3 linked regions of the Macaca mulatta genome follow. The protein of the gene in region 1 interacts with the protein of each later gene in a pairwise test. Links are inferred from orthologs where the notes say so. Each region holds a gene or a part of one and is shown in the gene's direction. Other genes may lie near its edges. The genes, in order: UBE2U, RNF144B and TRIM32.

Region 1 (4,305 bases):
CGTGTGCCCCTCTTTTGCAAAAAAGGATGGCATGTCATAGTTTGCCAATGGGAGAAACTCACCAGAGATTTGGCAGGTGGGAGGGAAGTCAAGGCCATTATGCTTGGGAAGTTGTTCATATCAGGCATGGTGGGTTCCTCAGATACGGCATTTTCACACGTCTCTCCACAGCCTCACTTCACAGACACGGTGGCTGCACAGACATCCCCATGAACTCCTCGTTTTTGTCGCAATTTGGGTGGCTAAATGTGTGCAGCTTCTTGTACTCCATGAGCTTCTGGTTTCCCACTCATGTCAGTGCATCAGGATCATGACTGTTTTTTCAATTCTCCAGCTGTAGCTTCCAGATCTTCACTCCCCTGGGTCCTCCCACACCTGGATAATCCCAAATTCCTGTGTTAGATTCTCACTCTTGTGTTACTTGTAGTGGCTCTGTTTTCCTAACTGAATCCAGACTGAAAACAGGACTGAATAGAGATAAACCATTTGTTAATCATCAGAGCCCATCAGTCAGCACAGGTTTTACTATCTTTACTAGCTAACCTATTTTCAGATTAAAAAATAAATTATCAGAGGCAGAGTTTCCGTGATCCAACCCAAGAAAGGCATGGAAAATATAAGGCAGTTAGAATTTGTGCTTCCATAACTTATTTTGTTAACATAGTAACAAAATCCCCTCCTTTATTACTGATTCCAACCACCAAATCCAAGGTGTCTCAGAGGGATTTATAAAGCTTAAGATTTCCTGGAGAAGAAATTCAAAATAATCTTTTTTTTATGTTCTAAAGAAACATTTCTATATTTATTTCGCATTATACTCTGCTGATCTAGCCAGGTTTCTTTTTATGCTTCCTGGGAGATTTTAACAGGGCAGGAACTAAGAGGGCAAATAGTCAAGGTGGTTGATTCCCAACTTTCATTCCACGCCAGCAACTCATGTCAGCCAATCATGGTGATCTCATTTCCCTTACCAGTAACTAGTTTAGAGATGGGGTGGGGTGCAGTAGCTCACACCTGTAATCCCAACACTTTGGGAGGCCAAGGTGGGCAGATCACCTGAGATCAGGAGTTAGAGACCAGCCTAGCCAACATGATAAAACCCCATCCCTACTAAAAATAATAATAATAATTAATTAATTAATGTTTAAAAAATAGCTGGGTGTAGTGGTGAACTCCTGTAGTCCCAGTTACTTGGGAGGCTGAGGTGGGAGAATCACTTGATCCCAGGAGGCGGAGGTTGCAGTGAGCTAAGAGCCCGCCACTGCACTCCAGCCTGGGCAACAGGAGTGAAACCCTGCCTCAAAAAGAATAAAATTAAATTAAAATAAAAGAAAGGGCATGTGACAGGATCCTGCTTGAGGGGAAATATGCTGGGTGCTTCAGGGGATGGTTTTCCCATCCACTCTTAAAAATGAGCTCTTGGTGAGAAGTCCGCTTTTTCCTCTGGATGTTGCTGTGCCCGGTGTGGTTACTAGAATGGCTGTAGCTCTCTTGCTGTGCACTGTGAAGATGAAGACAACACCTCAGTTAGCAAAGCAAGCAGTGAAAAGAATTGTGTCCTTCGTGACATTGTGGAGTCACCGCAATATTCAATCCTGCCCTCCACTCTGGCTTTTATCTTATGTGAGATAAAACATTCTCCTATTGTTTAAACTGGGTTGACTTGGCTCTATATTTCTTGTAATCAAAAGCATGTGGAATCAGAAAGGCCCAAACATGGTTAGAAAGAACTGGAGTTAGTCCATCAATAATATGTTCATGGAAAATAAAGGAGATGCTTTTCTCAAGGCACAGACAGAATTTAGTTTTAAATTAGTTACAACTAAATATTAGCATCGAAAGTATGAAAATTAAAAATCACTGGGGGCCTCAGGATACCCATAGGATAATGGTGACTGTGTAAACTCAAATCTCTCTATGTATCTTTCTCTCTTTGTTTTGTTTTGAGATGGAGTCTCACTCTGTCACCCAGGCTGGAGTGCAGTGGGTCAATCTCAGCTCACTGCAACCTCTGCCTTCTGAGTTCAAACGATTCTCCTGCCTCAGCCTCCAGAACAGCTGAGATTACAGGCTCCTGCCACCACACCCGGCTAATTTTCGTATTTTAGTAGAGACAGGGTTTCACCATGTTGGCCAGGCTGGTCTCGAACCCCTGACCTCAAGTGATCCACCTGCCTTGGCTTCCCAAAATGCTGGGATTACAGGTGGAAGCCACCATGCCTGGCCTCTCTGTGTATCTTTCTATAAACCAAAGAGAGAAGGAAAACAAGTCACTTGTAGCCTATGTCTATAACATTAGAAGACAACAAGTATTATAGGGTTTATTTCATATGTAAGTGAGGGAAATAAACATATAAGGCAAACAAAATTTGTCCTGGAATCCATAATCGGCAGTGAATCTGGTGACAGCTAGGAAAAAGGGGAGAGAATGCAGTGAGGTTTTAGAGTTAACAGAACATAAATAGCACCAGCTAGAGTTCATCCCCAGAAAGCGAGGTCCCCATGCTGTGTGGAAATATAGATCTAGAAATATAGACATTATATCTATATTCTTCTTTTGAAAAGTATAATCAGTTTATTTCCCTGTTTGCAAGGCCTGTAAGATAAAGATGAAAGTCCTTTGCATGACATGTGAGGCTTTCCTGATCTGGCTTCAGCCTCCCTTCCAGCTCCACGAAACTTTCTGTATACTATAACATTGTGGTTTTGGATAGACAGATCTGGGACGAGTCTTGTTATTAGCTGGATATCTTTGGTTAAGTTACTATAGGTCATTCAGCCTTAGTTTCCTCATCTGTAAAATAAGAATACTAATACCTGCCCATCACAAGGGTTGTGTCTGAGTTAAATAATATTATAGCTGTCGACTGCTGAGCACCGCACCTGGCACAGTGGAAGTGCGGGAGAATCCACTCTGATCACACCTAACCCTGTCAAGTCCTCTCATACCTTTGTGCTTATATGATGCATGCTGTTTCTTCTAACATGTTCTGACCTCCCTTCTCTGTCTAACAAACTGCTCCTCCTGTTTCAAAGCCCGAGTCTGTTTTCACTTAGACATAGTGATTCCCTCCCTGTGCTCCCAAAGCAGCTTTTCCCTTGCACATCAACCGGCCGTTAGCAGGGACCCAGTAAATATATATGTTAAATGAATGAACTAACAAAGCATCAAAAGATTGAGCAAGATGGAAGAATGATTTATGACAAATAAAGTTACTTATAAAACATGAAGTTTAGAAAGTGTAAAAAAGGTTGCTCGCATTCATTCAGATGGTCTTTGGCATTATCCTACAAATGCAGGAACACTCTTTTCATTGTTTTTCCTGTATGTCTATTAAATTTCTGTTTTTTATAGTTCCCACCACAGATGAAATTTTTCTTGAGTCACCAACTGCAATAAATAGCATCACAAACATTTACGAAACAGAAGAGGAGGGGTGGAAGAGTGACACTTCATTATATGAAAATAACACAGATGAGCCCTGGGAAGAGGAAGTGGAAGATCTAATCTCCTGGATCAACACTCTCAATACAAATACTTTAGAAGATTAAGCAGAACATTATCAGGTTAAAAAACTGAACAGCCTCCACCATAGCCCAGTGTTGTGGAGCAATTTTGGAAGACTCTCAGAACTTGGATTTCATTTTTTTCAGGCTGTTCTCACCCGCTCACTGCAAGTACAAGCAAGTACAAATTAGAAATATAAGTACAAATCAGTAAAGATGTTGCTTTGACTTTCTTTAGAACTAAGTTACCGAAGTTAGGGATGTTCATTGCCATATGCCAATCAATGGTGTGACACTCCCACAGTTTTTAGGCTACTGGACACAAGTTTTTGCAGGCAGAGAATGGGTCAGAAAGAGGCTGGGATAGGAGGGGAGCAATTAAGAGCTTCAGAGGCTGGACATGACCTCAAATAGCAGGATCTATACATGGACCTACATCTGCCTGCTTTCTTGTCTTGTTTCCTCCATATTCAAGGAATGAGATGTCACTATTTACTAATGTTTCTCTTCTGTTTTATCCCAGAGTACATGGGAACATATCTGTCACCCCAAAAGTTTCCCCTGCTTCATGGTAATACGTCTCTCCTGCTCCTATTTCCTGCCCTTACTTTTCATAAGATCAGTCAGTATCACTGATCTGCTTTCTGTCACTGCAGATTAGTGTGCAATTTCTAGTTTTATATAAACTAGACCTTCTATCTCCTTGTATTCTTATAACTTTATTTTCTCTGTCTCTTTTTGCCATGTTGTCTCAACCTATACGTATGCTTGGGTCTCTCCTATTCTAAAATATGTCTC
Region 2 (3,649 bases), on another chromosome or scaffold:
GTCTCTTAGTAACTCCACTATTGCTCTTAGTTAAGCTCTGTAACCCATTCCTAAGGAATAAGGACTTCTAATGAAGGAATTGTGTAGAAAACTGTAATGTTTTCCCCATTTTTCTTTTTCTACACTCCTTTGCATGGTCCTTTATGTGCTGTCATAATAGTGAAAAATACAGAAGGTCACTGTTTTCTGTTGGCCAAACTCTTTCCTTGCTTTCATTGGACTGTGCCATAGCTGCACTGCACCATAGCTGCACTGCTTACTTTCTTTTTAGTAATTCATCAAAACCTATCATTGCTCCTTTATTTATTGTCTGTGCTTCCATTTTGTCACCCCAGATACCTGAAATAATAAGCTGATAGAAACAAGTCAGAACTTGTACCAAGTAGTTTTAATTGATTAGAGCTACGAGAACAAGTTGCATCCTTGTATCTTTTTAAGGTGATCACTAGGGATGCTATACATTTTAACAGTAATATGTGTTTTAACTTTCCTTTCCGTTTTCCTTCTTTTTCATCAAACTTTTAAAAGACCTCTGATTTAGAAGGGATGCTAAGTAGATATTTGATATGGGAGTCTCACTCTCAGTTACATACTAACCTTCATTTCTTTGGGCTTAGTATTTGTGAAGCGGTTGTCATAGTTTGGAAGAAAATATTAAATGGTGTAGAAATAAAAGACCAAGACCTTAGATCCTATGTGTGCCACTGTTTCCTTGACTTCTTAAGGTTTTAGGGATCTTGGAGGGTCCATCTCTGTTGGGGTCTGAGCATCTGTGAATTACAGGATTTTCCTCCTTGTGATTGCATTTGTGTGAAAGGCTCATTGTTCTTTGACCCCCACCCTCCAGAATTCCTAGATAAGACCATATGTTTAAGGATACAATTTTTGAAGGAAAACTTATAACAACCCAAATGTCCATCAGTGACAGACTGGATTAAGAAAATGTGGCACATATACACCATGGAATACTATGCAGCCATAAAAAAGGATGAGTTTGTGTCCTTTGTAGGGACATGGATGCAGCTGGAAACCATCATTCTTAGCAAACTATCACAAGAACAGAAAACCAAACACCGCATGTTCTCACTCATAGGTGGGAACTGAACAATGAGATCACTTGGACTCGGGAAGGGGAACATCACACACCGGGGCCTATCATGGGGAGGGGGGAGGGGGGAGGGATTGCATTGGGAGTTATACCTGATGTAAATGACGAGTTGATGGGTGCAGCACACCAACATGGCACAAGTATACATATGTAACAAACCTGCACGTTATGCACATGTACCCTAGAACTTAAAGTATAATAATAATAATAATAAAAGATAGATCCAATTATTTCATTTCTAGGCAAGACATCAGTGGAGACAGTAGTTTACCAGAACATTTCAGACTTTCTCCCTGATATTGAATGTGTAAAATTATTGACTTTCGAAACTAAATTCCTACTTAATACCTTTATTTTCTTTTTGCACCATCCTTTGGATTTGTTTGCCTCATGTGTGTACATTTCTAGGAATCATGAAATCATGAGCCCTAGGAGGTTTAAAACTAGAATCTCGTCAGTTCAAAATTTGCAAAATACATGAGTCCAGAGAAAAAAGGGGTACTCTACCCCTCAAATAACATTTTTTTACATGGTATGTTCCCTTAAAGGTCACAGTATATGGAAAGAACGTGGGGTCTGCTACTGAGTAAAAAAGAGATACCAAGCAAGACTTTCAAATCCTTGAATAAATGGCTGTCTATTCTCCAGCTCTACCTTCTTTCCTGCATGTCATATGGAACTAGCCTATGTGTTATGACTGGCTATTATAATGGTCTGTGAAAGTCTCTACCTTTTGTTTCTAGAACACGTGGGTCTTTTACACATTGTTCCTAACTTGCGTATTGGTGGGGAAGCAGAATATCCAAACTGACAGGTAATCCGACTTCTTGGCTAAGCCACACGAAATACTGTTTGGTCCCTCAACTATTTGATTATTTTCTTCCTTGTTCTTTAATTTCCTGGGAATGTGGAAGAAATCTCACTACCTGTTTCTCAGTGCCTGAAAGGACAAAGTCTTTTTGGAAAAATGCCTTATTAAAAATTTGCTTTTTATGTTCAATTCTCTTCCAGGATAGTGCCCAAATAATTGTAGAAGGGATTTGGGATTTTTGCCTATTTTACATGCTCAAAAGTGGGAAATATTCTAAAAGTTTTGTGAATTTTGTTTATAGAGAACACTTTTTATCTGTTCATAAAGGCAATGGTGAACTATTCCATTAGTACCTACTTGGAGAAATGTGGCAGGGCTTAGCGACCTTGTAAATGATAGGTTTGGATCCATTATGAAGACTAAGAGTCTTATACTTCTATAAACGTCAGTTTAAAAAAGAGAGTAAATGGGGCAAGTGCGGTGGCTCATGCCTGTAATCTCAGCACTTTGGGAGGCCAAGGTAGGCATATCACTTGAGGTCAGGAATTCGAGATCAGCCTGGCCAACATGATGAAACCCGTCTTTACTAAAAATACAAAAATTAGCCAAGCATGGTGGTGTGCACCTGTAGTCCCAGCTATTTGGGAGGCTGAGGCAGGAGAATCGGTTGAACCCGGGCGGGGGAGGTTGCAGTGAGCTGAAATCGTGCCACTGCACTCCAGCCTGGGCAACACAGTGAGACTGTGGTTCCAAATACATTATATAAATAAAAGGGCAAATGAAGGTGAGAAAGACTCAAACGTGAATCGGGCAGACCATCACATTTTCTTTCTTTACACTTTAGAAGTTCATCTGGACCCCTACCGAACATGGTGTCCTGTTGCAGACTGTCAGACAGTGTGCCCTGTTGCATCGAGTGACCCAGGACAGCCTGTGCTGGTGGAATGCCCTTCTTGCCACCTGAAATTCTGCTCGTGTTGCAAGGATGCTTGGCATGCAGAGGTCTCCTGTAGAGACAATCAGCCTGTTGTCCTGCCAACAGAGCACAGGTAAGAAAGGAAACTTTGTCTTTGGGATTATTCACTAGTTTTCTTAGAAACTCAACATACGTTACATGTAGAAGGAATTACGTTGTGATGGCGTTTAGAGATTGGTTGTTTTCTTGCAGAACTTCCCGTAGAAGTGTCTCAGAATTGGTAAGTTGCCAATACAAAAGCATTTCTAGTTGTTCGCCCCAGAGGAATCTTCCAGATATTGCTGGAATTAAAGTTTGTATGAGTTTTGCTTTCTCTTTAGGTAGCAAGGCACTGTGGTCTACTGGTTCTCAGTAGGAAATTGTGACTTGTCCCAGCCATTTGCTCAGATGCCGTATCTGCCTGTATTGGGATATATTATTCTTGTTGCTTGCAAAATGAGACAGAAATTTTCTTAGCTGACTAAATTGCCAGCTCATGATGTGTGACAGTCATATTAGAAAGAATGCAGGAATAGAAACAATGGTCCTAAATTATTTCAGCACATAGAAAGGAGGGTTCTCTCGTGATACTTTATGCTCTGTAAAGGTTGAGATTTTGTTGTGATAGGAAGCAATTAAATCTGTACCTTTTTAGTACAGTGGGGTTTTTGTTTTGTTTTGTTTTGTTTTTGAGACAGAGTCTTGCTCTGTTGCCTAGGCTGGAGGGCAGTGGCATGATCTTGGCTCACTGCAACCACCGCCTCCTGAGTCCAAG
Region 3 (4,087 bases), on another chromosome or scaffold:
TAATACATGAAACTTCTTGTCCTTTCCTTTGCCTTTTAAACTTTGTTAAGGTTGTGCCTTTTGCCGCCTCCTTTCTTCCCTCTCCGTGTGTTTATGCTTCTTTCCAGGCCAATATAAAATGTCATCTTCCTTTTGAAAATTCTGTGTCCCTTCAAATTAGAATGACTCCTCAACCCCCATCAAACTTAGTTTTTATTTCATTTATAGTACTACTTTCTGCCTTCATTATTATTTGCCTACATGTCTTGTCTTTTATAAAGTTTGAATATCTGAAGAGCAGGATCTGTATCCTGAAGACCTCTTGTATCTAGTACAGAACAAGATACCTAAACTTAGATGGGTGGATAGATGAGTAGGTAGGAGGATAGATGCATGGAAAATGTGTATTTTCTGATCTAATGTTTTGCAGATTACCTAAAGCTAATCATCACAATTTTCTAAGTCTGTGGATGATTCCTAGGGCCCCAAACATGACACAGTAAACTCTATGACATGATGAAAAAAAAAAAAACAGCCTCCACACTTTTGCTTACATGGTTTTCTTTGCTTAAAGTACCTTTATCCCTCAGTCCTTCATTTCTTTATCTTAGGAGTGAAACTGCTTTTGGGAAGCCTTCCCCAAGTCTGTTAGGTGGAATCTATCATTCCATCCACTGTACTCCAGCAGAACATTATGTGGACCTGCATGTCACACTTACTCCTTTTACTGTGCGTAATTCTCCTGTGCTTTTCTGTTAGTGTAAACTGTAAGTTGTAAAACTCACCAAATATGAAAGTAATCATTAGCATTTATTAAAGTATACTACTTCCCTGGTGCTATATACTAAGCACATCATATTTATCTTGTTATTTAGCCCTTACAATAACCATTATTCTACAATAATAGATTGTTCTACAATAATAGAATAAGGTAGACACCATTTTTCTATTTTACAGATGAGTGATGGGGAAAGAGCTTTTGGAAGTTTGAGTTACTTCCTTATGGTCATGCAACTAAGTAAGTGTCTGAGATTCCAGAATCTGAATTATTACCCTCTATGCAGTGTTTTGTCTTGTTTGTTTCCCTGTCACCCTCACATGACACATAATAGACCTCAATAAAATAGTTAAGTAAGTGAATGACTGAACGACTGATCATAGCTATTCTCTAAATGTTTCTTGAGTGAATTGATTTATATAATCAGAGGAAAATGAATAATGGTTTCTTTTTCTCTTTAGCAGGAATTTTACCCTCTAGGGCATGAATACTGTGCTGTTCAGTTCTGAGCTGTGCTAGCAGTACCCTTCAAAGGAATAGCAATGGCTGCAGCAGCAGCTTCTCACCTGAACCTGGATGCCCTCCGGGAAGTGCTAGAATGCCCCATCTGCATGGAGTCCTTCACAGAAGAGCAGCTGCGTCCCAAGCTCCTGCACTGTGGCCATACCATCTGCCGCCAGTGCCTGGAGAAGCTATTGGCCAGTAGCATCAATGGTGTCCGCTGTCCCTTTTGCAGCAAGATTACCCGCATAACCAGCTTGACCCAGCTGACAGACAATCTGACAGTGCTAAAGATCATTGATACAGCTGGGCTCAGCGAGGCTGTGGGGCTGCTCATGTGTCGGTCCTGTGGGCGGCGTCTGCCCCGGCAGTTCTGCCGGAGCTGTGGTTTGGTGTTATGTGAGCCCTGCCGGGAGGCAGACCATCAGCCTCCTGGCCACTGTACACTCCCTGTCAAAGAAGCCGCTGAGGAGCGGCGTCGGGACTTTGGAGAGAAGTTGACTCGTCTGCGGGAACTTATGGGGGAGCTGCAGCGGCGGAAGGTAGCCTTGGAAGGTGTCTCCAAGGACCTTCAGGCAAGGTATAAAGCAGTTCTCCAGGAGTATGGACACGAGGAACGCAGGGTCCAGGATGAGCTGGCTCGCTCTCGGAAATTCTTCACAGGCTCTTTGGCTGAAGTTGAGAAGTCCAATAGTCAAGTGGTAGAGGAGCAGAGTTACCTTCTTAACATTGCAGAGGTGCAGGCTGTGTCTCGCTGTGACTACTTCCTGGCCAAGATCAAGCAAGCAGATGTAGCACTCCTGGAGGAGACAGCTGATGAGGAGGAGCCAGAGCTTACTGCCAGCTTACCTCGGGAGCTCACCCTGCAAGATGTGGAGCTCCTTAAGGTAGGTCATGTTGGCCCCCTCCAAATTGGGCAAGCTGTTAAGAAGCCCCGGACAGTTAACATGGAAGATTCCTGGGCCATGGAGGCGGCAGCCTCTGCTGCTTCTACCTCTGTTACATTTAGAGAGATGGACATGAGCCCGGAGGAAGTGGTTGCCAGCCCTAGGGCCTCACCTGCTAAACAGCGGGGTCCTGAGGCAGCCTCCAATATCCAGCAGTGCCTCTTTCTCAAGAAGATGGGGGCCAAAGGCAGCACTCCAGGAATGTTCAATCTACCAGTCAGTCTCTACGTGACCAGTCAAGGTGAAGTGCTAGTTGCTGACCGTGGTAACTATCGTATACAAGTCTTTACCCGCAAAGGCTTTTTGAAGGAAATCCGCCGCAGCCCCAGTGGCATTGATAGCTTTGTGCTAAGCTTTCTTGGGGCGGATCTACCCAACCTCACTCCTCTCTCAGTGGCAATGAACTGCCAGGGGCTGATTGGTGTGACTGACAGCTATGATAACTCCCTCAAGGTATATACCTTGGATGGCCACTGTGTGGCCTGTCACAGGAGCCAGCTGAGCAAACCATGGGGTATCACAGCCCTGCCATCTGGCCAGTTTGTAGTAACTGATGTGGAAGGTGGAAAGCTTTGGTGTTTCACAGTTGATCGAGGATCAGGGGTGGTCAAATACAGCTGCCTGTGCAGTGCTGTGCGGCCCAAATTTGTCACCTGTGATGCTGAGGGCACCGTCTACTTCACCCAGGGCTTAGGCCTCAATCTGGAGAATCGACAGAATGAGCACCACCTGGAAGGTGGCTTTTCCATTGGTTCTGTAGGTCCCGATGGGCAGCTGGGTCGCCAGATTAGCCACTTCTTCTCGGAGAATGAGGATTTCCGCTGCATTGCTGGCATGTGTGTGGATGCTCGTGGTGATCTCATTGTGGCTGACAGTAGTCGCAAGGAAATTCTCCATTTTCCTAAGGGTGGGGGCTATAGTGTCCTTATTCGAGAGGGACTTACTTGTCCGGTGGGCATAGCCCTCACTCCTAAGGGGCAGCTGCTGGTCTTGGACTGTTGGGATCATTGCATCAAGATCTACAGCTACCATCTGAGAAGATACTCCACCCCATAGGGGATGAGAAATATCATTTTCTTCTGCTCCCAAGCCAGCTTCCCTTCCCATAGTTCTTGGTTGTTAGTGGCACATAGAGAATAGACTCGGCATATGTCCTGATTCCAGCTGGGTAGTTCTAGAACTTTAGAAGCTCCATCTTTTTATGTTTTTTATTTGTTATTTTCCCCTCCCCACTTCCCACCTAAATTTAGAGCTTTAAAAGATGCACTGCCCAAATAGGACACGCAATGGTGTTAGCTGAAGTTTGATTAGCAATTAGGCACTTCCAAGGCTTTAGTAGAGAGAGCCACTTTAGCCCTTTGTGCCATGTTTGAAATGTGCCCTTGTATTAAATCCTTGATTTTTTCCCGTTTGGCTCTGATGCCCTTGATCCATTGTTTCCTTCCTATTACAATGTGCTTCATCTGTGACACTTTCTCTTCAACTCTGATTGGATTCACTGTGCATGCTTCAGTGGGATATGCTCCACCTTTCAGTGACATTTCAGACATATTCCTGTAACATTATGTCTCAGTCTGATCGTCTTTACCAGTGTGAAAGCTCATTCATTTAGTGCTACCAAAGGGGATACACAGGCCCTTTAGGAAGCAGTACCTCTCGCCTGGAGGATCTGTGCCATCTTGGATTGAGAACTGCAGATGTGACAGAATGGATTGACCCTAGTTGGTTGGTATTGACGACTTCAGCCTGGAAATTGCTTGCCTTTTAAAGAAGCATAATATGGATTGGAATTATGCCAAAGCATAGGAAGCTAGGAATAAGCAAACAAATGCTGATATAGTCAGCAAACTTGGATAGTCTCTAGGGCTCATCGTTTTTCATA

The links.
Region 2: the proteins of UBE2U (region 1) and RNF144B interact in a two-hybrid assay, tested with the Homo sapiens proteins (2 studies listed by BioGRID and IntAct). The link is inferred for Macaca mulatta from reciprocal best matches to the Homo sapiens genes UBE2U and RNF144B.
Region 3: the proteins of UBE2U (region 1) and TRIM32 interact in binary tests that used the Homo sapiens proteins (3 or more experiments, as listed by UniProt). The link is inferred for Macaca mulatta from reciprocal best matches to the Homo sapiens genes UBE2U and TRIM32.

Annotation. Positions count from the first base shown.
Region 1 is NC_133406.1:176,364,821-176,369,125, reverse strand, and holds the end of UBE2U (ubiquitin-conjugating enzyme E2 U), read left to right. Parts: intron 1-3,367; coding exon 3,368-3,552; 3' UTR 3,553-3,722; downstream 3,723-4,305. UniProt on the Homo sapiens protein: Catalyzes the covalent attachment of ubiquitin to other proteins.
Region 2 is NC_133409.1:164,627,902-164,631,550, reverse strand, and holds part of RNF144B (E3 ubiquitin-protein ligase RNF144B), read left to right. Parts: intron 1-2,763; coding exon 2,764-2,968; intron 2,969-3,649.
Region 3 is NC_133420.1:41,594,612-41,598,698, reverse strand, and holds the start of TRIM32 (E3 ubiquitin-protein ligase TRIM32), read left to right. Parts: upstream 1-1,218; 5' UTR 1,219-1,299; coding exon 1,300-3,261; 3' UTR 3,262-4,087. UniProt on the Homo sapiens protein: E3 ubiquitin ligase that plays a role in various biological processes including neural stem cell differentiation, innate immunity, inflammatory resonse and autophagy.